Linked DNA regions of Drosophila melanogaster. The gene in region 2 interacts genetically with the main gene of each other region. Each region holds a gene or a part of one and is shown on either strand. Other genes may lie near its edges.

Region 1 (7,936 bases), on a different chromosome or scaffold from region 2:
GGGAAGCCCCTCCGCCTCCGCCATCACTACGCGTCCAAAGGCGCCCTCACCCAAAATGGAGCCCAAGCTAAGCTGCTGCCTGGGAATCTCCCAGTTTGAGTCCAGCGGGAACTCATACTCATTAAAGCCCTGGGCGGGATCAGTACCGCCAGTTCCCGTTGTGGAAACGGTTGTTCTCTGCTTCTCGATCCTTATCACTGGCATCTGAAGATCGCCGGAGCTGCAGCCACTTCCTTCTTCTCCACCCGGTCGGTATATGATCACCTTTTTAGTCCACTGATGAACCGTTTCGATGCGGAGCTTCAGGAGCTTCTCCCTCCTCAGCCGACGCAGCATGAACGTTATGAAAGCACTGCCCAAAAGGAACAAAGCCACTATCGTAATAGCGGCCAAGGTGAATCCGAGAGGATGGGCGTGCAGCAGGGCGTAGATCTCCAAAGGTGGCAGAGGACTCACTACCCTAAGGTACACACTGGAGTTACTCCTTCCCAGACCACTTGAGGCCAAACAGGTGTACCAGCCCTCCTGGTCAAAGGTCACATTACGAAGCGTTAAAACTACGGAGTCATTCGTCACGGTGAAGTTGAGATTCTGGATTTCCACAGACTTAAGGCCGTCCAAGGAGGCATTCTTGAGGACAACCCTTTTCCAGCTGACTGTTGGATGCAGATCAGAGTAGACGGTGCACTTCATCACCAAGCTGCCATTGACTTTCACCGTCTGATTTTGCGGCACCACGATTATTGGTGCGGATCTCGTGCGATCGTTTATTTGGACACTGAAGTCAAACTGGATGCAGCCCCACGCATTGCACACCTTACAGTTGTATAGTCCAGAATCCTCGCTGGTGGCCTCCACGAAGCGGAGTGTCCAGTTCTTTTGCACATAGACGCCGAGTTCACGGTTTAGCGGCTTCTTGTCCTTCGTCCAGGTGATGTTCGCTTTGCCGTACACTGGACAGGCTAGATTGACAGTATTTCCCGATAATGAGTGCTGTAATCGTTTCAGCTCTTTTCTGAACACAGGTGGACCAACGCCGCCTGATGCTTCCGCTGCTGGATTTTCCACGTCGTCATCGTTGTCCTCTCCGGTGGATGCAGTGGGTATTGGGCTGGCCACGGTGGTAGTAGTGGTCGTGCGAACTGTGGTAGTATCTGAGGGACTGTAAAGATCCACATAGGAGGCGGCCACAGTGCGTCCAACCTGGTTCTCGGCTATGCATATGTACCATCCGCCATCCTCCATCAGGACATTTCCAAGACGAAGTACCTGCGGTTCATCCATTCGGGTAATCAATCGGGTAACATCCACAGGTAGCTGGGACTGCTCTCTTAAACGCTGCAAGAGGTCATCGATGTTGTCCGCATTCCCCTTATGTAGCCACGTGATCTTCGGCTCCAGGGCAGAGTCCTCAAGTAGGCATTCAATGCTCACATTGTCCCCGAGGGCAATGCTGGTATTGCGGGGATATCCGGGCTTTAGCATGGGCACCGTGTGCTTTCTGCTTATCACCTCCAATTGGGTCGGATTACTCCTTTGGCAGTCCTGTTCCACGCACAGCTCACAGTGATAGCTTCCAGCATCCTCCGGCTGCAGTTGCCCCACTGTTAATGACCACCTTTTAAGCTTAATGCGTCCACGTCCACCAAGGATTTGAGTATCATTGTGCAGCCAGGATATATTAACACCCTTTGCATCCGGATCCATGGGACTGCAGTTCAACTGAAAAAGGCCACCTGCGGTCCGTTGTACGGTTTTGGGTAGGGGTTGCAGCAACTTCAGGGATCGACTCTCATTCAGGGGCTGAAAAAAGAGATCTGACTCCGGGAGGGCCGGTGCATCTTCCAACTTGACAAAGCTGGCGATATCATTGCCAACTGGTTCCTTATGGCCAACAACAAGGGAAATATTGTACCATCTGTTCTGACTATCCAGGCAGCCGTAGTTTCCAGAATTTCCGGACTGTGCTCGTTCAAGTCGCAAAAGGGTAGCCCTCAGTTGAAACTTATCCTCATAGAACCATTTGGCCATGGGTCGGACGCACTGCAGCGTGATGTCCATGTCGGAGAGCAGATGGCGCTGGCGGGGACTGTTTTCCACAGTCACATCGATGTAGCAACGATGATGGCCATAATCGCATCCCAGGTCCGCAGCGGCAGAGACGATCGCAATGATCATCACCAGCGTGATCGGCACTTTTGCCATGATTCAAGTGGATTCTCTTGAGTTCAACAGCCACCAAGATCTCGTATCTGGATGGGCACGATCGTGTACATATGGGTTACAGTTGCGGTCGAAATAATATCACTTCCTGTGGGTATCTTCATTCGAGTTCCTCGATTTCAAATCGAGCGTTCTCCAGCTAAAGGAAAGGATTAAATATATGAATTACATGGCATTGATTGATATATTATACTTTAAAAATAACACTTTGGAATTTTGTTTAATTTAACTAAATTTAAGAAGTTATGAATGCAAATATTATTAGCTATTCGTTACTTGAATACCACTATTGTGCCACTATTCTTTTGACCGCAGCTGTATAAGTGGATCAATAAATATTGCCAAATCTCCGCTTCACTTTTTGCCCCTCCCTTAGTTCCCGATCTGTGTCATTTTATTTATTTATTATTATTGTTTAATATTTTATTGCCAACACGGCACACAGCCAAGTCAAGTCTGTCCGCACCGATATGCAAAAATCCAAAGGAGAAGCAACTGAAACAAACGAAAACTGTGTGCCCTGCCTTCGTAATGAGCTGGAAGACGTGGTCGAAGCCACCGAATTGCCGGACACACTCGTCGCCACCCACTACCGAAGGGGATCTCCATTATAACTTGTCTATATTCGACGTTCGCCAAATGCTTTTGTTGCTGCGGCCTGCGCTCCTCGATTTCCATTCAACTAAATGCCGAACAGTTAGAAAATCACTTAGCTATTTGTTGAAATCAGTTGTTACAGTGGTGTCACACTTTTCAGTTATTCCCCAAGTACTATACTTGCACTTACAAAACAAACAGACAAGGTGCTAGAGAATTGCAACAACAAATCGAGAAATACCTAAATGATTTGCCACAATCTGAAATAGCAACTAATTAACATTCAAATTCTCTGTGCAATATGAGCTCAGCATTTTAATCAATTAAAAGGTATATTTATAATAAAGTTATGCTTTAAACACTGAATAACACTGCTCGAAAATCCTAATAGCAGATAATTATTTCAAAATTAATTTTTAGTATAATCACGTAAAGGGTATAGGACAGTGGGTATTCCATCTACTTGGGTTCGTCAAATGTTTGCCAAATAAAAATAAACAATTTTTAGTTCAATGATTAATGATGATAGGGTAAATTCCCAAACTTGTTGTCTGCGAATGTAAGCTTTGTACAAAATGTAAAGTTTTAAACGAAGTTTAGAAAATATTGATAATAATGGGGGCATAGCATAGTTCGACTATTTTTTCTATCAGAAAATTAAAATATTTTTAACTTTTATAAAATCGTTTTGACCACTGTGCTGTTTAATGAAAAGTATTTTATTGTTTGTAAGGCTTGGGACAACCGTTGCGATTGTCATTGTTGTTGTTAATATGGTGCTAGTGCTGCCAGTAATTGTTGTTGTTGTTTTAGCCGATATTGCCGCTAGCCGCTAGCCGTTTGACTTCAGGCCCGATTTATGTATGTATGCACACGCGTCGCAGGTTTTAATTTATTCAATTCCTTTTTTTCTCATTTGTTGCCAAATACGAGTCGATCGCTGTATTTGAAGTATGTATTATTGCTATTTTTATTTAATTTTTTTCTCAGTTTGTCATTCATTCAATATTATTCGATTCGATTTTAAGCCACAAGCGCACATGGCCAAAACCGTTTAGCTCACACCTTTTTATCTTGTGAATTATTATCGAGCGTATAAATCTAATGCATGAACGATTTGATATTTCAACTTGGTCAATCAGCTATATCGAGAATAGAATAAGTTCTTTATTTGGAACCCTGGGTATTAACTCCCCATTCAGTTTTCTTTCTGCAAACATTGACTTAATGTAAAAGGAATGTTTGGATCAAGACATAAATTATTCATTCATACAATTGACATCACTTTAATTTTATTTTCTTATTTATTTCATTGGTGTTTATTTAATTATGTATGAATCAGTTTTATCACGTTTCTTTGTCTCAATTAAAATTTTATTTTTAACATTTGGTTACTTTGCAGACTTTTTGTTTTTATTTATCTGTGGTTTATGATCTTTTGGCTGCACTTGGAAAGATTTGTATTTATTTTACTGCTGGAACAATTCACTCTTAAATTATTTTTTGCTTTATTTTGGTTTCACTGCTGCTTGTCAGTTCGCAGTGGGAACACAATTCTTTTCTGCCATGCCACAACCCCAAATCTTTGACCAAAAAAATCACGTTCTTTGTCTTTTATTTTCGAGGAGCCGGAGAAGGCAAATAAGATTGCAAAAAACATTGTCACTATGTTTATTCGGCTGTCAATCGCGGTTGGGGCTTGTATAAAAATCTTAAGACTCGGCAAGAGGGCAGCGGAAGGCGCCTTGCATTTCCGCTTCGTTGCCAACTTTTATTTCCCTTTACCAGGCATAAATGAAAAGAAATATGTGATGGGTAGCTGGTGTTGGGCGGGGGGGGGGGGGGGGGGTTCACTTCCGTTGCACTAACCGTAATCCGTAAAGTTTGTGGAAGGAGCCAACCGATTGGCTTGAATGTGCGCAAACAACTGAAAGTAACGATCGAAACGGAAGAAACTTTTACGCGGTACGATACGAACGATCCGAACGTGCCGATCGAACCGAACCGATCCAATACGATCCAATACGATACGAAACGAGTGGATATCTGTGGTTCCCTGCGATAATGTTTGCTAGGATCCTGGGCACAGGGTCTTCGGATGGGATGGTATGGGTTCGGACGGCTACCTGATCGAGGTGGTCTCCCTCCCGCATGTTGCAATTGTTTTCGCTGGTAGTTTTCCTGAGCGGTTTCCTTTCTTTTTATTGCTGGTTTGCTGCTGCTGCTTCTGCTAGGTTCTTGTTGGTTTTATTCTAAGCATGTTTGCGGTGGCTTCGACTCGTTGAAATTCTTTATTATCTGGCCTTCGGGTTCCCTCCCTGTTTGTTTGCTTGGCGGCTTAATTTATGCAAAAGAAAATGTGTCCATTGTCTTAGTGGTGTGCAGTACGTGCGCATGCGCGGTAATCGCATATCAATAAGGAAATATCCGTTACGTGACTGATATCCAAAAATCTCAGTTGCTGCATGTGGCATGGCAGCAGCTAGCTCCCGCATAGGCCAAAATCCAGATCCAGATGCCGGGCACGTAATCTACCCAAAAATAGTTAAATGCATTTTTGATGCACTTGTTAGGGGCTATGGGAACAAATGCGAAACAGTTGGGAAATACGAAAAGGAGGGACATACTATCCAAACTAGCTATCAAAAACTTGTTATAGCTAAACACAATTTCCGGTGAATTAATAACCAAACTCACCTGATGTCTTCATTTGTTAAGGAGCCACCCCTTAACAGCACTCATGTTTACCGAGGTCAGAATGCGAAAAGATATTAGTTCTTAAATTTGAACATCTCTTTCTCTTTTTTATACATGTATGTACATTATAATTAAAATATAATATTCTTTCAATTTAACACTCCGGAGTGGTATATGGATTTATACGAAGTAATCATAAAAGAAATTTGGTTTTTATTTTTCAACAAGAAAAATTATGAAATATGTACTACCTAAGACTTGCGTCTTCCAACAAAATGTTCCATTTTCCAGATGTACAAATATGCAAAAAACAATTTAAAATAATAATAATGCTAAGCTTATAAGTCTTTGTCTTTAAGCCAAGGTCGCACGCTTGGCTACAAACTCCCTAGAAGTCTTCTCCTTGTTGGTAAAGCGAGCATACCTACCAAGAGATAATTAAAAAGGTAAGAAGAACAGAAGAACAAAGAAGACATTGTTACGTACGTTCTGTGATATTTGGCCACATCGGAGGCGCTGAGCGAAGGACGAGTGGTTTGGAACGACTCAATCAGGTGCTTCTGCTTCAAGGAAATTTTCTTTGCCAGTTTCTGGGAAAGCAATAAGAAACAAATGGTATTTTATACTGTGGCCAGAGACTAAGAACTACGTGACTAATCATTGTTGCAGGAAGTAGCATAGATTTCACTTTTGATTTAAAAGACAAACACGTAAAGGAGTTTTTACATAGAAGTTACATTTGAAATCAGGATGAGAAACAATAAAACATGAAAGAAACGGTTGAAAGCTTGCATGACCCATAAAGCAGATTGTTTCCGGTGAAAATAATTCCCAGCTCACCTCGTGTCCGAATTGAGCTAGCGCCTCCTTAACCGCCGCCATGTTCGCCGAGGTCAGGATGCTCTGGATATCGGCGCCAGTGTAGTTTGCAGTTTTTCCCGCAAACCAATCGAAGTCCACGCACTCATCAAGGCTCAGTGTTGAACTGAGTGCTTCAAATATACGTACTCTGGCCGGAGCATCCGGCAAAGGACACTCCACCAAGCGATCAATGCGACCGGATCGAAGAAGCGCGGGATCTAGCAGTTCCGGTCTGGAGGTAGCTGCTATCACGGTAACTCCCTGCAGTCCTTCAACGCCATCCAGTTCTGTGAGCAACTGATTTACCACTCGATCGGTGACCCCCGTGGAATCGTGACCACGTTTCGGCGCCAAGCTGTCAAACTCGTCGAAGAAAAGCACACATGGTCGGGCACTGCGAGCTCGATTGAACAGGTTTCGAACATTTTCCTCGCTTTGACCAATATATTTGGCGAGCAACTCAGGACCCTTGACGGAAATGATGCGCAGGTTCCACGATGTGGCCAACTGAGAGACCAGATAGGTTTTACCTGTTCCTGGTGGCCCATATAGAAGTACTCCGGCCTGGTTGCGCAGTGGAGAGGCGTTAAAAATGGTTGGATACTGTAAGAAATTAATGATTTATTAAATTTTAGAAAAAAACATATATTTCGTTTAAAACTCACCCTTGATGGCCACATAAGGACCTCCTCCAGAACTCCCACAACTGACTCCAGGCCAGGCAACTCCTCGACGCGCATTTCATTGGCATCGGCATCATTGCCAGTTCTTTGATTGCTCTGAATGCCCTGCAGGCAGTACGAGTTTGTGTGCTCCAGGGACTCAATAAGCTGATCATTGGTCAGAAGAGGCTGGGTCTTGCCTGGAAAAAAGGGAATTTAACATGATAAAGTTGCTTACTAACACTACAAACTACTCACTTATGCGATAAGCATAAAATATTGCACGCTCCACGAACTGAACAAGATCACATTTCCGGTAGCCCTCCGTGAGGTTGGAGAACTTAACAAGATCCAGGTCCTTGGCCACATTGATATGGCTGCACAGCTCTCGAAGAATTATCTCTCGATCTGCTCGTTCCAAATTGGGCAGACGAGCAACAGTCTGGAAGACATGTCTTCCCCTTGGTGAGCTCAATCGCTTATTGAGGGTCTGCAACTCGTTGACGGTGGCGATTACTGCAATAGCGTTGTTGGTGGTATACTGAACAATCAACTGATACACAGTATCCGCCATGCGATTGTAGTACTCTCCATCCTGACTGGACTGCTCTCCAGCAGCGTGGGCCAGTACATCCAAGTTTTCTAGCACAACAATGGCGGGGGCATGCTGCAGGCAGCTGGTAAAAATGTTGCGAAGATCTTTTTGGATGGACTCCGTCTTGCGGCCTTTGCTTCGCGATCCGTGGAAGAACTCGAAGTGACAATAATCCGGCTTGCGTGACAGCTGGTCCAAAATGCGCTCCACAAGAACTGTTTTACCCGTTCCCGAGGCACCAGCGAGTAGGACATTGCACTGACGCATGACGGAATTGTCAGCACTGAGGCATAGATTCATT
Region 2 (4,797 bases):
GCCGATTGAGGCGAATTGCCTAGTTTCCTGCATATGGCGAAAGATTCGAATGGATTGCAAGTGACCATAGCGATAAGTGTGTCGAATATGGTGGGTGATCATTTTTAGAATAAGGCGCTGTGGGCAACCGTTATTATAATTGATAACAATAACAATAAGGGAAAGAATCTATTGTTTTTATAATAGTAAAAACTTTAATGGCACACTTCTAATAAATTGCGGCACTTCTAAAGCAGATCTACATGCTCTGAATTTCTATGTATGAAACACTCCTCAGTATCTCATCTACTACTTATTTCTCATCTCTTTTGAGACTCGAAAATCGCGCTGGATTTAAACGTCACACGAAGTGCCTTAAATCAACTTAAATCATCAGATGTCATGAAAGCGAAACCTTGAAAACGCTTATGATGAATACACAATGATCGTGCAAAGGAGTCCTGAGCGACTCATAAACCATAAACCTGTGACTTTTGCTGGACATACGAGTAAACCAGGAGGCCTTTCCATCTTGCATGCAACTGCCCACTTTAGGGGCATCCATCACACGGAGGACTGTCAATGTCAGGCCAGTCGCGAAATGTCAGTCAGCCAGGAAGGCGCGTTGCCAACAATCAGCTATATATACGCTCGATCGGCTATATGCGATCCCCTCATTACGCCACAAAATCGAAGGCAAACAGAAGCTCCACTCCACTGCCGGGGAAAAACAATGCCAAAACAAAGATTGGCGACGCTCTGGCGACAAAATACTATTACAATTATCACTTGCGTAAACATTGCAATGTTGTTAACGTGGTTTAAATGTGAGGGCGAACTGAAAGGGGCTGGGTAGTGGACCCAATTCCATGGCGCCTGCCAGGCGAAAAATGAAAAAACAAATTCCGAAGAGCTGGCAGTTGCGCTTAATATGCAAACGTGATGCAAAGCTGCGAGGTAAAGGTTGTTGGGCAGCCACTGGAGGAGTCAACAGGGGGGAAAACCCCAGAAGGGAGGACTTTTGGGGCATGAAAATGGAGTAGCAGGCAAAGGGGAGTGAACGCCTGACAGCCGCCAAAGTGCAAAAATGCGAACGCGAAACGAGGGCAGGGAATGCAATTTGCAACCACTTTGTCTTTGTCACTGCGTCGGCTGAACTTGTGGGGCATATTAAAATAACTAAAAGTATATTAGACTCGAGTAAATTAAATAACACAGCAATAAGCAGATATTTAAAAAATAGCTCTCAAAGAAAATTAAAAATTTGTGAGCCAAAATTTATTCCTTTAGGGACATAACAGCCATATCCTATAATCCATATACGTTTGCTGTCAACTATCGACTTTTCTATTATCTGAAAACTTTGCTAAACGATTTCCATTTACATGGATTACTTCTACTTATTGAGCCCAGATTAGCATAGGAATTCGCGATTGCCCCGTGGCATACTGAGCAGATGGGAAATGCAAGTGTCGTGGAACGTCAACTCACCTCTTCGTCGATGGGAACTGCCGCGGAATTTGTTTGGCGAGAGGAGCGGCGGTCGAGGCGCCATCATGCTGGGCACCTCATCCGGAGATCCCAGTCCCATTGCTCCAGAGTTCTGTTGATGTTGCTGTTGATGCTGATGTTGGGCCCAGTTTCCCAGGGAATGGCGACGAGTTCCGCCACTTGGCAGGGTGTGATGTCGATGCGATTTGCTACTGAGGATTGGTCGCAAAGATGGGGGGTGGGGGGAGAAAAGAAAGGGCGCACGATTAGCATGGGCGGAAAAGGGGGCGGTTCGAAACTGTCAACAGCTGCAATCGCATCCTGTCATCACCTCACCCTCCCCATTAAATGCTCGATTCTGGGGATTGCTCACCTTGTTGGCGATGTCAGCGGATTGAAGACCTCGTCGTGATCCCCAGCTACGGATGCACCTCCTCCTCCGGGACACTGGGAGCTGTGGGTCTCGTTGCAAGAATTCAGGCGTTCCCGGAACTCTGAGTGCGAATTTGCAGATCGCTGGCGGTACATGTTCATCGTCTGCAGTTCAATCGCGTGCTGAAATGCGCAAAACGGAAGAGGACGGCACATTAGAAGGGCTCACTCGACTCCACAGGAAGTGGCAGATCCAGCAGATAAATCAGAATCAGTATTCCGAAATCGGAGATCGGAATATGCTCTATTAAATCGCTACTCACTTGCGGATAGCCGGCGAGGGAATTGAAGCTGCCCCGCGGACTTCCTAATGCCATGGTAGCCGTGGTATCCAGATTGGCGGATGTGATCAGTCGCATCTGTTCCGGATTGGTCATCACCAGCGGCCGGGGGCTGCTGCCCTTCGAGTTGCGCCGCTTGAAGATCGAGAATCCCCGGCTGGAGGACTGCGAGTCCGGGGTGCGCGGCGACTTGGTTTCATTGCAAAAGTAATACGGGTTGTCTGGGGAGTTCAATTGCAATAGAATGAATGAGGAATGGAGTTAGTTTTCTGATTTGAACTTATCAAAGTTTGAGGATGTGCTTATAAAGTATAATAAATAACATTTATTTAATATCATATATGTACGTTTTTAATCTGTATGAATCTCTGTATCTTTGTATAATCTTTCGCTTTTGCTCATACTTTCTAACTTAAAACTTTGATATTTGTTACAATTCTTTTCGCATAAAGAAACTTATAAAGTCTTTAAGAAACTCTTTCACTCTTTTTACCTGAGAAGAAGGTGTTTGTGTTATCCACAGTGACAAACATCTTGAGATCCTTTATGCAGTGAATTTTTCCTTAGTTGATATGCGATTCGCAGAGTCTACCACAATTCAGAGCTCTGATTTGCGATGCATTTGCACTTTCACTGGCTGCGCATGCGCACGCGCCAAAAGTTGCGCACAGGGCGCGAATTCGAGAAACCGTAAACGGAAATCACAACGGGGAGTGCCACAAATGGCAACTTAACAAATTGTCAGTTTGAAAAAACGGGGCAAATAAATTCAAAATTCAAATTTAGGCGGCAATGCAAGTTCGTGATGGTTCGACTTAATATTTCACTTCAGTTCACTTGAGTTCGCGCAGTGCGTGCGTCTGCATTGACATCCCGAAACGGAATAAATTCTAAAACTTCAACGAGAACAAAACACTCCGCGCCGTCTGCATTTTCCTCTGCCACCGCCGATGTCTCTGTCGACGTCTCTGCCGACGCAGAGAATCCCTCCTCGTGTTTTGGTTTTTATTTACCATACGCGCACTTCTTCATCCATTCCCATTCTCAGCGTGCACTGATAAAAATAAATATACCGAAAAATCCCACCTTCTCATATTAATATTTTCTTTCGAATTCTCTAAGCGAAACTGTTAGGCATAATTTTCTTAATAAATTCAGATACAAAAAATTACTTGAAATAAGTACCACAAGATTTTGAACTGGATACATTAATTAAATAAAATAATAATATTTAATCGGTAAATTTGATTTCTTTATGTCTGTTTCTGTGTCTTCACTAATAAATTTGTACATCATTTTGAGAGATCAATCAATTCTCATCTCTTATTTTCTCACAGTGCAGCGACATCGGCAGCAGCATAAAAACATTGCATCTCTCCCTCGCACTCTCACCCCATCTCGCTCCCGCCCGCGCACGCACACACGCATACGGGATCAGTGTTTAAATATGGTTGCCATATTGCCATCACCCACTCGGTACTCCCCCACCCCTAGAAACCGATCGGCGATCAGGAAAACTCACTTTTCCTCGACTACAACGACTTTGTTGTTGTACCTGCGCATGTTTTTCTTTTGCGTGCGCTTTTCGCATGATCAAATTATCATCGCCAGCGCGCTCCGAGTCCATGATTTCCATGATATCCATGATTCCCTGTCCTCTGTCCCCTGTCCACTGTCCCTGTCTCCTGTCCCTTTCCCATTTTCCATCCGTGAGCGTACGTTTTGTCTTGGTCTCGTCGTGCATATTTGATGAGTTCCGATAGCAGAAATAGAAGACCCATCTAGCATATAAGCCAACTTGATGTGGCGCACATAGCATATACCATCATCATATATATTGTAGCATCTGAGGTGAGCCCCCCGGTTTAGTATTCCCCATGTTCTATCAGTGTCAAAGTTTGAGTTTGTGCGCCGAGTGTTGTCTGTGGTTGGGTTGGTCTTCAATTCGATGATGTTCACTGTCAGGAAACATTTATGAGACGTTTTTCGGGAGGGACCATGAGAACTCACCTTCGCAGAGCGGTGGGAGAATTAATCTTCCAAAATATCATGGGAAAAAATACAAAAAAAAAAAATTATACAAAGAGTTTTAGGATGTTTGATGATACAGATGCCAGAAATTCATCAAAAATATGATGATTACTTACGCTGTATATTAATATATTAGCATAAAGTAAACTCATATTTGGAGCATTTCTTCAATTGTCCTGAAGATACGCAATATTTGCCTTTCGACTTTATGGCAAATATGAAAATTGTCATCAATGTTGGGCCGAAAATAGAAGGCCATAATAGAAGCTATGGCCAGGCGACATATTCCAGCCACATTAGGGGAAACTCGAGAGCATCAAAGGCAGAAAAAAAAGAACGCGCATCGGAAAAGGCACATTAAAAATTGCAGCCAGGGGAGAGCAACAATTGTGCTAAGGGAACACATTTTCACATTTTTCCCCAGTGCAACTAGGAAAAAAAAAACTGAAACTGAAGCAACAACTGAAGTGGCAAAATGCTAGAGAGTCCATGTGGTCTGTCCGTGGAATTCCTAAGTGGACTGGGTCTAAAATCGGGCCTGCCATCGATACTGGGCCAACAACCAAATAACCCCTACCACACA
Region 3 (4,577 bases), 5.1 Mb from region 2:
AATGCGTTTTGTAGTTCTTGCAATATTCGTAGTAGTACACACCCGGAGCGGCGTCCGCGAAAACAAAATGGCGACCGCGTCAATCGACTTTTTCGCCAAATGTTCTTTTCTATGCTAGCGTTATGGCTTACCTTTTGATGTTGGCTGTGCTCTTAATACTGGTAATATTTCTATTTTGCTGCTTTCGGCGTAGTAAATTTTATACAATGAACAAACGCTTGTGACAAACTACAGTTTCCGAGATCAATAGAAAACCGTACAAAAGTCTATGTTAGAGTTGACAGTGATACGATGACAGCACATTCATCGATGGTTTGATATTTGGACGTGTCTCAGATTTCTATCGACTAGACATCGCCGATATTCGAAAATGCTCTTCGAATTATCGAAATGTAGGCATACTGCAATTTACGCGCGCAACGCAAAAATTCAAATAATAGAATATTTGGCTCAACAAGACAGGAGACTTTAGATGGAAAAATAGAATCCACAAAAGCAAAACTATGGAATAACTAAAACCACTTTTCATAAATAGTACACACAATCGATTTATTTCGTTTCTTTTTGTATGGCAAAAATTAATACAAAAAATTAAATATTAAATGTATGTATGTATGTATAAAAAGCTTAAAGCAAACTATATAATGTAAATTTAATTGGCTGTTTGTTTTCTCTCCGATTGATCTGTCAGTATGGTAAGTAGAAAGAAAGGCAAATCTCAAGAACTCATACGGATTATAATTTCATCATCGTAGCACCACAGATATGTGTTTAACCGAACATAAATCTAGTTTGGGGCTAGCGAATTTACTCGTTTGTGCGAAAGTTGCTGTGAGCTTATCGGCTTTTGCTTGTTTGTTCTCTAATGATGAATACTAATGGAATTCTGCTCGTGCGTGTGTGCGAAAAAAGATTACATTTATGTATGACTGTCGGGTTGAAACCAATAGATAACAGGGCTGTAAAAATACACAATATTTGTTTACATCGCGTTTCGGTTTTAAGCACGGAGTATCTGTTGAAGTACAAACAACATAGAATCAAGTTAAGTGCTGGTTGAAAACAAACGGATATAGCAGCTGAACCAAGGCAGTTACAACAGTATTCATAGTTTTTATGTAGAGGTACATATTCATTTTCATTTTCGATTTGCTTCGTTCGTTTTTGTTTGCTTGTTATTGTTAATACTCTTAAAAGGGCGCCTCGCAGCCTTTCAAACGACACAAAACACACACATTCACAAAATCATTTCGACGTACATAAAACTCTAGTTACTTAAATTAATTACAATTTCTCTTCTTTTATCTGACAATTGCACCGACCAACACGCTCCCACATGTGTGTGTTTTTCGCATTGTGTGTCCAAAATGGACAAACCATCGAGCCCAGGACGATCGGCGATTCGCCGACGCACATACAGACAAACAGGCGACATTTGAAGAAATAAAAAGTGAATAATAACCAATGCGTGGCCGTTTAGAGCATTTTACATTTAAATCTACGATTCGGCTTGTTCATTTTGCGGCCCCTCCGCCCCTTGTTGTCCTTGTCCTTGCGGATTTCGCGCACCAGTGTGTAAAATGCATCGTCCACGCCCATGCGCGTCTTGGCGGATGTCTCAATGTATGGAATGCCGTACTGTTTGGCCACCTGAGAACAACCATAATTAACGGAATGTTCGCTCGGAACTCTGAAGGCCGGTACTCACCTCTCTTGCCTGCTCGTTGTTAACGTTCCACGAGGCCAGATCACATTTGTTGCCCACCAGCACCATGGGCACCTCTTCGGCATCCTTTACGCGCTTGATCTGCTCACGGTAGGTGCCGATATCCTCGAAGGACTTCGCACTGTTGACGGCAAAGACCAGCAGGAATCCCTCGCCAGTCCGCATATACTGATCCCGCATGGCCGAGTACTCCTCTTGGCCGGCGGTGTCCAGGATGTCCAGCAGGCAGGTCTCTCCATCTGCAGGGGAATATAAAATGCATTTGAATATCGCAACTTCTTAAGGTCTCTTCTAGTATAAACGGGAAACCAAACCAGCGAAAGGGTGCAGAAATCTCTAGAGTATTTGGACCTGTGCAGCCCTAGCTTTGCCAGATCTAAGTACATATAACTCACCGATAACCACTTGCTTTCGGTAAGAGTCCTCGATTGTGGGGTCGTACTCGTCCACGAAATGGTTCTGGATTAGCTGGATGGTGAGCGCGGACTTGCCCACGCCTCCGGCTCCAACGACGACCAGTTTGTATTCCGTCATTTGGCTGTGGCGTCCGTTTTCGATTTGCCGTAGTCAAATGTCACAGTAACAGTCTCTTTCTCGCGATCGATGCTTACTCTCTTGTGAAGCGCCCGCAGATGCAGTCTCTCTCTCCGTACGCTTGTTGCGTGTGTTTGTGTGGGTGACTGTGCGTGTATGGGCTGCAAGTGGAGTAAATTATTAATTAAGATTGATTAAAATAAATTAAACGCATAATTAGGCAGGAATTAATGCACGTCACTGAGTCACTGTGACTAGGCGCTTACTCGCACAAACACACACGCACCACTGCATGCACACAGCCAGACGGGCAACACAAAAAAAAATGGGAAAAAGAGATCAATGACTCAAACTAAAATTAAAACCCATTCGCTCAATGCAAATTAGTTAGTCTCCCCCATAGCCGAGTTGTTAACTAGGTGAATTTGCTAATTCGGCGGCGTTGTTTTTAGCCCTTTTCTTTATTATTTTTCTTTTGCCTGCCGGGGCTGCGGACCTTCTTTGTTGCTGCCTCTTCAGCTAGCTCCTCCTTGTTTTTCCGCTCCGCTCCTCTCTATCAATACTCTGCCTCTCTCTTCTCGCGCGCGGCGCAGTTGCTGGGCACGTTTCACGTCACTTTCGCGGCTAACGGTGCGACAGGCGGTACTCCTCGATGGCACCAATTTAATTGCCGTGCGGTAATTGCAATTAACAGCGCAGGAAAACAATAAATCCGTATGTGAAATGAAGATGAAATCTAGGCTGTACGTAGCTGTGAAGATACTAGAGCTGGCACCAAGCCGATGGCACTATCGATAGCGATGGCTGCATTCTGGCCGGCACCATCGATGGACTTGCAATAGCGATTGCTATATGAAAACTAATCTAAAGAGGTGGATGCACTTCAGTCGACTCTCTATAATTTGCTTAAACTAATAAATGATTTGATCAATACAGCTTTCTGTAAAAACTGGCAGACGCTTTCTGCTTTTAATAATTGTTAATTTAAGTTCAACGGGCTGGCATCACCGTTTCTTAGCACGGACTCAAGCCTGAGTCTATTATTTCAACCACCACTGTAACGAAAACAGCATGGACAGATTGAAATTCAATAATTTGGTAAATAAACGATTTTATTTAAAATTATAGAGTTTTAATTAAAAAGAACTTTTACAGGTGATATCCAACAAGAAGGTCATTCAAAAGGCACGCGCCCAGACCATCGCCAAAATCGTACAAAAGCTGCGAAAGACAAAAGAGGCTCTGGCCAAAAATCCAGACAGTGAAAAGGAAAAGATTCGTTTACGCAAGAACACAGAATGCCTGGCCCAGTTGAAGGCTCTAAAATATATGGATATGGTACGCCAGTCGCTCCTGCAGGAGGGCACAAATCCCAATGCGGTGATTGCTAACGAGCGCTCCACGCCGGATGAACTGGGCATTGCCATGCTGCGGCTAAACAAATTGATGCACGGACTGGTGGACAAGTTTGTGGAAACCTTGAAGCTGAGCACCACCGATAAGGAGGCCAAGTGGCGTGAGGAGATCCTAGAGACGAGCAAGCGAAGGGCCAAAATAGAACGCACTGAGGAGCGGAAGAGGAAGCGCAAGGAGCTGAAGGAGCAGAAGGCCCAAACCAAAAACCGACTGGAGTGGTTAGAGCAGAACAAAGTGGTGGATGCAGATGTTAATGGAGCAACTGCGGAAACGCCCACTCTTCAAGTCAGCAAAGTAAATGATCAGGAAATACCACAGTCTTTTGCAAAAACTGAAAATTCTCCAGTTCTCAAAGTCAAAAAGGAAAAGACACCTAAAACACCAGCCAAAAAAGAAAGAAACCTTCAGAAAAAACAAGCTTTTGATGAGCAGATCAACCCGGAGATAACTAAGCTCAGTTCCAAAAAGCAGAATTTAAATACAATCAAGGAGAATAATGCAGAGCCACAACTAGAAGGCAGACCGAAAGAATCTAAGCCAAAACCCTTCGAGAAAAAACCAGCCAGAGAGCAGAAGCCTAAGCCACGATTAGAAAGGCAGCCAAGTATCGATGAAGAAGAACCACAACTTGACAATAATCGTCCCACACATGTCGTTGATCCCTTCTTCATTACGGAATCAGGCCAGCCCTACTTGTCCAGCGCCGTGGTTCTTTCCGGGGACAATGACAGCGAAGCTGATGAGGAACAGGCACCGCCGCCAGTCAAAAGGTTCCGCAATGAGGATCGACGGTCGAACACATATCGGGAGAAACCGGAAAGACAGCCAGAGTTCAAAGCGAGAAAGCCAACTGATGATCGTCATCCCTCCTGGCTGGCTAAGCAACAGCAGAAACCAATCA
Region 4 (3,505 bases), on a different chromosome or scaffold from region 2:
TGCAAAAGAGAAGGATTTACCACTTATATTTCAAATCGTAAGCCTGTGAAAATAAAGGATGCATTTGGCAGTGTTGAATATGGACGGTTAAAAGGTCCAAGCGCATTTTTAGCTAGTTTGTTAATTAGGCAATACTACCATGTACTCTCTTTATCATTATATCTTATTTTTTATCAATAAAATTTTTCAGCTTCTGATTTTAAAACAGCTACACGATACCCAAAGTTAAAGAAATCTATTGCAGTGTAAGAAAGTCTGCTTACCAATCAAAATATCCGTTTTTTTTCTTTTCTGATTTGTATACTGCCAGCTAAAATATCGCCATTCTACGATCTATCGAAGGTTATGAAAATTCCGTTATACTACAAACTCAACCGCTCGCTACGAAATGTATCGAAGCACTGATTTTCTCAAGTGGCCATATTGAATGTCAACCTAAATTTCTGCCTGCCTCGGCATTTTTTTTTTCCATTTATGTAGCAATTGAAACGAGATCCCACCATGACGATACTGACTCTTTAATATAATAAATTTAATCGTTCTGTTTTCTTAATATCTACAAGTCTTTCGAAAAGATGTGATGTGATGATGAGATAAGATGGAATTACTTCTTGGGTGTCTTTTTCTTTCCGCTAGTGGTGCTGGCTTCTTTCTTTCCCTGGTAGAGGCCCGTATAATAGCCGGACATGTACCAGGCGGTGAGCATGGCCACGAAGTCCTGTTCGGCGCCGTCCCCTTGTCCGACAATCATGGGCGGTACTGGTGGCATGGGCGGCATAACCAGTCCGCCAGAGATCCTACTCCTTCTGGATGACTTGGGAGTCTTTGAATGACTACCAGCGGATGCCTTAGGGCGGCTCAACTGCTCGTCCTCATCCTTCTTGGCGATAAGGAACTGCTCGCGACGCACACGCTTGCCCCAGGACGGCAGGAGGTCCACGAGCAACACCTCCTGCTCGTTCTCATAGCCCAAATAGCGGAGTACGCAGGTGCCCTTCTCCTCGTTAATAGACACCACAGCGCCCTCGTAGTCCACACCATCCACGTAGGTGGCCCTGGCGTAGTCGCCTACTTTGAAGGATACTGGTTCCGGGCTGGTAGCCCCACCAGTGGCCGAGATCTCGCCAGCTTCTTCTTCAGCTGCGGCAGCGTTCTCCTCCTCGCGCTTGTTGGTGGAATCGGCGAGGCGGCGGGCCAAAGCTTCGCGGGCCAGTCCCACCGACTCGTCGTACGTCTTCACCAGCAAGGAGTCATCCCACACCGCGGCGTTCGTCTCGTCGGACATCTCGGCTTTCTATCCTATCAGGCAAGTATCACGTTTTTAAAGGAAGAACCAAGTTTCGCTTTTATGCGAATTTGCTGTGTGTTGGAAAGCGCAGGCGAATCACCGCTTAGCAGCACAGGCCGAAACATGAAACTATCGCTAAAAGGTGTACATTCAAACTAAGATGTGATAAAATTTATGAAGTCATTCTGGGTATTATATTATTCTGAAAGCGAACGAAATGGTTAAGAAATATTTAAATTCAGTAAAGCTGAAAAAAGTTTTCATACTTTGTGGCCAACATTCACAATGCAATCAGAATACTTCCAATGTAATTGTATTGTATTTATTGTTTTAATTGAAGTCTTCTTTTTATACTTTCCACTAAAAATACTTTATTGTGAGTGGTGTTGTACCTATCGTCCCCATTAACCGCACGATAGTATCGATACTTATCAGCATGCATCTTTAACACAATAAACAAACAATAAATTGATCGATCCGACCTGAAAGCGAGATCGCTAAATTTTTTAACTCAATTTCGGAGGTATGGAGTTGGGGTTGGTGTGCCGAATTTGCCTCGGGCAATGTGAAAACGAGTTCAATATTTTTGAAGTTAAGCACGGCACTGAAGCTTCAATAGCGTCAATCATTTCCGAGTGCACTGGCCTCAAAGTGGAAAAAGGCGATCATCTACCCGAAACATTTTGCACCTCCTGCTGCCAAGATGCACAAAATGCGTTCGAGTTTAGAAAAACCCACCAGAGGAGCTAATAATTTTACGTTTAGTTAATGGAGGAATCCCGATTCCGCAAGGTATCTTATTCCGAGGATGGGGAATCGAGTATCGATGGAGGTGCTTTTCAGCATTTTGTCGAACTCGAAAGTGTAGTTGAAGATTGGCGAGGCAGTGGCATGATCCAATGGGAATGTTGTCTAGTGTAGAACGAGCCTCTTTAAAGACGATGATCAGTTCGTGGACTGTGACAGCGATCAATCCAATAGCCAAGTCAATATTGAGGTAATAGACGAAGACTATGATAGTTGTGAAAACCATAGATTGCAAAATAAAGGACGTGATAATGATAAGCTGCTTCAATGTCCTCATTGCCCAACGAGGTTTTGGATAAACTCAGCACTTAAGCAGCACTTGCTGCTTAGCAGCAAAGGCTTTGAAGAGCGTATCGCATCTTTCGGGACATATTGCAATACACACTGAAAAACGGTGCCCCCATTGTACATCGAATTTTACGCTGGCTTCCAATCTTAAAAGGCATCTAATAATCAACACAGGCGAACGCCCCTTCAAGTGCTCCCAATGTCCTAAGGCGTTTTACCCAGAATGCGCATCTTCGAATTCACATGATGAGCCACACAGGAGAGCGACCGTTCCCATGCACCAAGTGCTCCAAAAGCTATTTCACGAACACGCAACTGCGGTACCATCTAAAGACCCACAAAGAATGAGAGTTCTGAATCGCTTAATAATTTAAGTTATTCTTGACACAAAACTTATGCCCAAGGTCAAATAGACGTGATTTCAATACCCGAAATTTTTAACTATACTGAGACAATCACTAATTGAATAAACAGTCCGAGCTTAAATGCGAAAATTTAGATTTAAACTCCATTAGATAGTTTGTTAAAATATATCGATATTAAAGCACAAAGGAAATACAATACCCCTTGGATCAAATCATAAAGCTTTCAGTTGTAAACTGTTAAACTATATAGAGTTCGTCTAAAAAATGTATTTTTCAACTTAAACTTACACTTAAATAATATTCCCAGCCCTGTGGTAACTTGACAATCGATAACTGTTCCGATAACGATTGTCCTATCGCTTTACCCTACAACAATTGCCATCTCTAAAAAAAAGCGAAAATCATCTTGGGAATTTGCAGAAAACATTTAAGCTTCAATATACCAATCTAAAGAATGGCCAACGTGGAATCGCTGTACAAAGAACTGACCGCCGAGTGGTCAAAGCGGCCACCAAACACCGTCAAATGCGGCCAGCTGCTGGATCAACTGAAAGTAGCGCTCGTGAAGATGGCCTTCCTGCCGACGGACGGAAACGATGCCCAGAGCTCCAAGAAGCAATTGATCCTGGCTAGGAGCGTGCTTGAGGTGGCCGTGGAGCATAGCGTGCTCAGCAAGGACCTGCTCGCCTTCGAGCGCTACATGGCGCAGCTGAAGTGCTATTACTATGACTACGCTAAGATCATTGGCGAATCGGAG

The links.
Region 1: of stumps (region 2) and btl, changing one enhances a phenotype caused by changing the other (phenotypic enhancement), as found in Drosophila melanogaster (one study listed by BioGRID).
Region 3: of stumps (region 2) and Ras85D, changing one suppresses a phenotype caused by changing the other (phenotypic suppression), as found in Drosophila melanogaster (3 studies listed by BioGRID).
Region 4: of stumps (region 2) and Smn, changing one enhances a phenotype caused by changing the other (phenotypic enhancement), as found in Drosophila melanogaster (one study listed by BioGRID).

What each region holds. Positions count from the first base shown.
Region 1 is NT_037436.4:14,073,881-14,081,816, reverse strand, and holds the start of btl (breathless), read right to left. Parts: upstream 6,004-7,936; intron 5,942-6,003; coding exon of another isoform or gene 5,872-5,941; 5' UTR 5,769-5,871; exon of another isoform or gene 5,694-5,768; intron 4,753-5,693; exon of another isoform or gene 4,690-4,752; intron 2,363-4,689; 5' UTR 2,206-2,362; coding exon 1-2,205. Other genes in the region: Pex1 (peroxin 1), read right to left, coding at 5,872-5,941, 6,004-6,107, 6,358-6,981, 7,044-7,240, 7,299-7,936. UniProt on the Drosophila melanogaster protein: May be required for patterning of muscle precursor cells: generation of mesodermal and endodermal layers, invaginations of various types of cells, and CNS formation.
Region 2 is NT_033777.3:14,589,889-14,594,685, reverse strand, and holds the start of stumps (stumps), read right to left. Parts: upstream 3,067-4,797; 5' UTR 2,717-3,066; coding exon 2,677-2,716; intron 2,405-2,676; coding exon 2,166-2,404; intron 2,026-2,165; coding exon 1,844-2,025; intron 1,683-1,843; coding exon of another isoform or gene 1,680-1,682; coding exon 1,471-1,679; intron 1-1,470.
Region 3 is NT_033777.3:9,510,032-9,514,608, forward strand, and holds Ras85D (Ras oncogene at 85D), read right to left. Parts: upstream 3,037-4,577; 5' UTR 2,757-3,036; intron 2,422-2,756; 5' UTR 2,261-2,421; coding exon 2,122-2,260; intron 1,966-2,121; coding exon 1,709-1,965; intron 1,651-1,708; coding exon 1,477-1,650; 3' UTR 530-1,476; downstream 1-529. Other genes in the region: Rlb1, read left to right, coding at 3,332-3,358, 3,416-4,577. UniProt on the Drosophila melanogaster protein: Ras proteins bind GDP/GTP and possess intrinsic GTPase activity. Plays a role in eye development by regulating cell growth, survival of postmitotic ommatidial cells and differentiation of photoreceptor cells.
Region 4 is NT_037436.4:16,579,898-16,583,402, forward strand, and holds Smn (survival motor neuron), read right to left. Parts: upstream 1,651-3,505; 5' UTR 1,555-1,650; intron 1,491-1,554; 5' UTR 1,286-1,490; coding exon 605-1,285; 3' UTR 501-604; downstream 1-500. Other genes in the region: Rpn12 (regulatory particle non-ATPase 12), read left to right, coding at 3,203-3,505. UniProt on the Drosophila melanogaster protein: Core component of the survival motor neuron (SMN) complex that plays an essential role in spliceosomal small nuclear ribonucleoprotein (snRNP) assembly in the cytoplasm, is required for pre-mRNA splicing in the nucleus and acts as a chaperone that discriminates target and non-target RNAs of Sm proteins.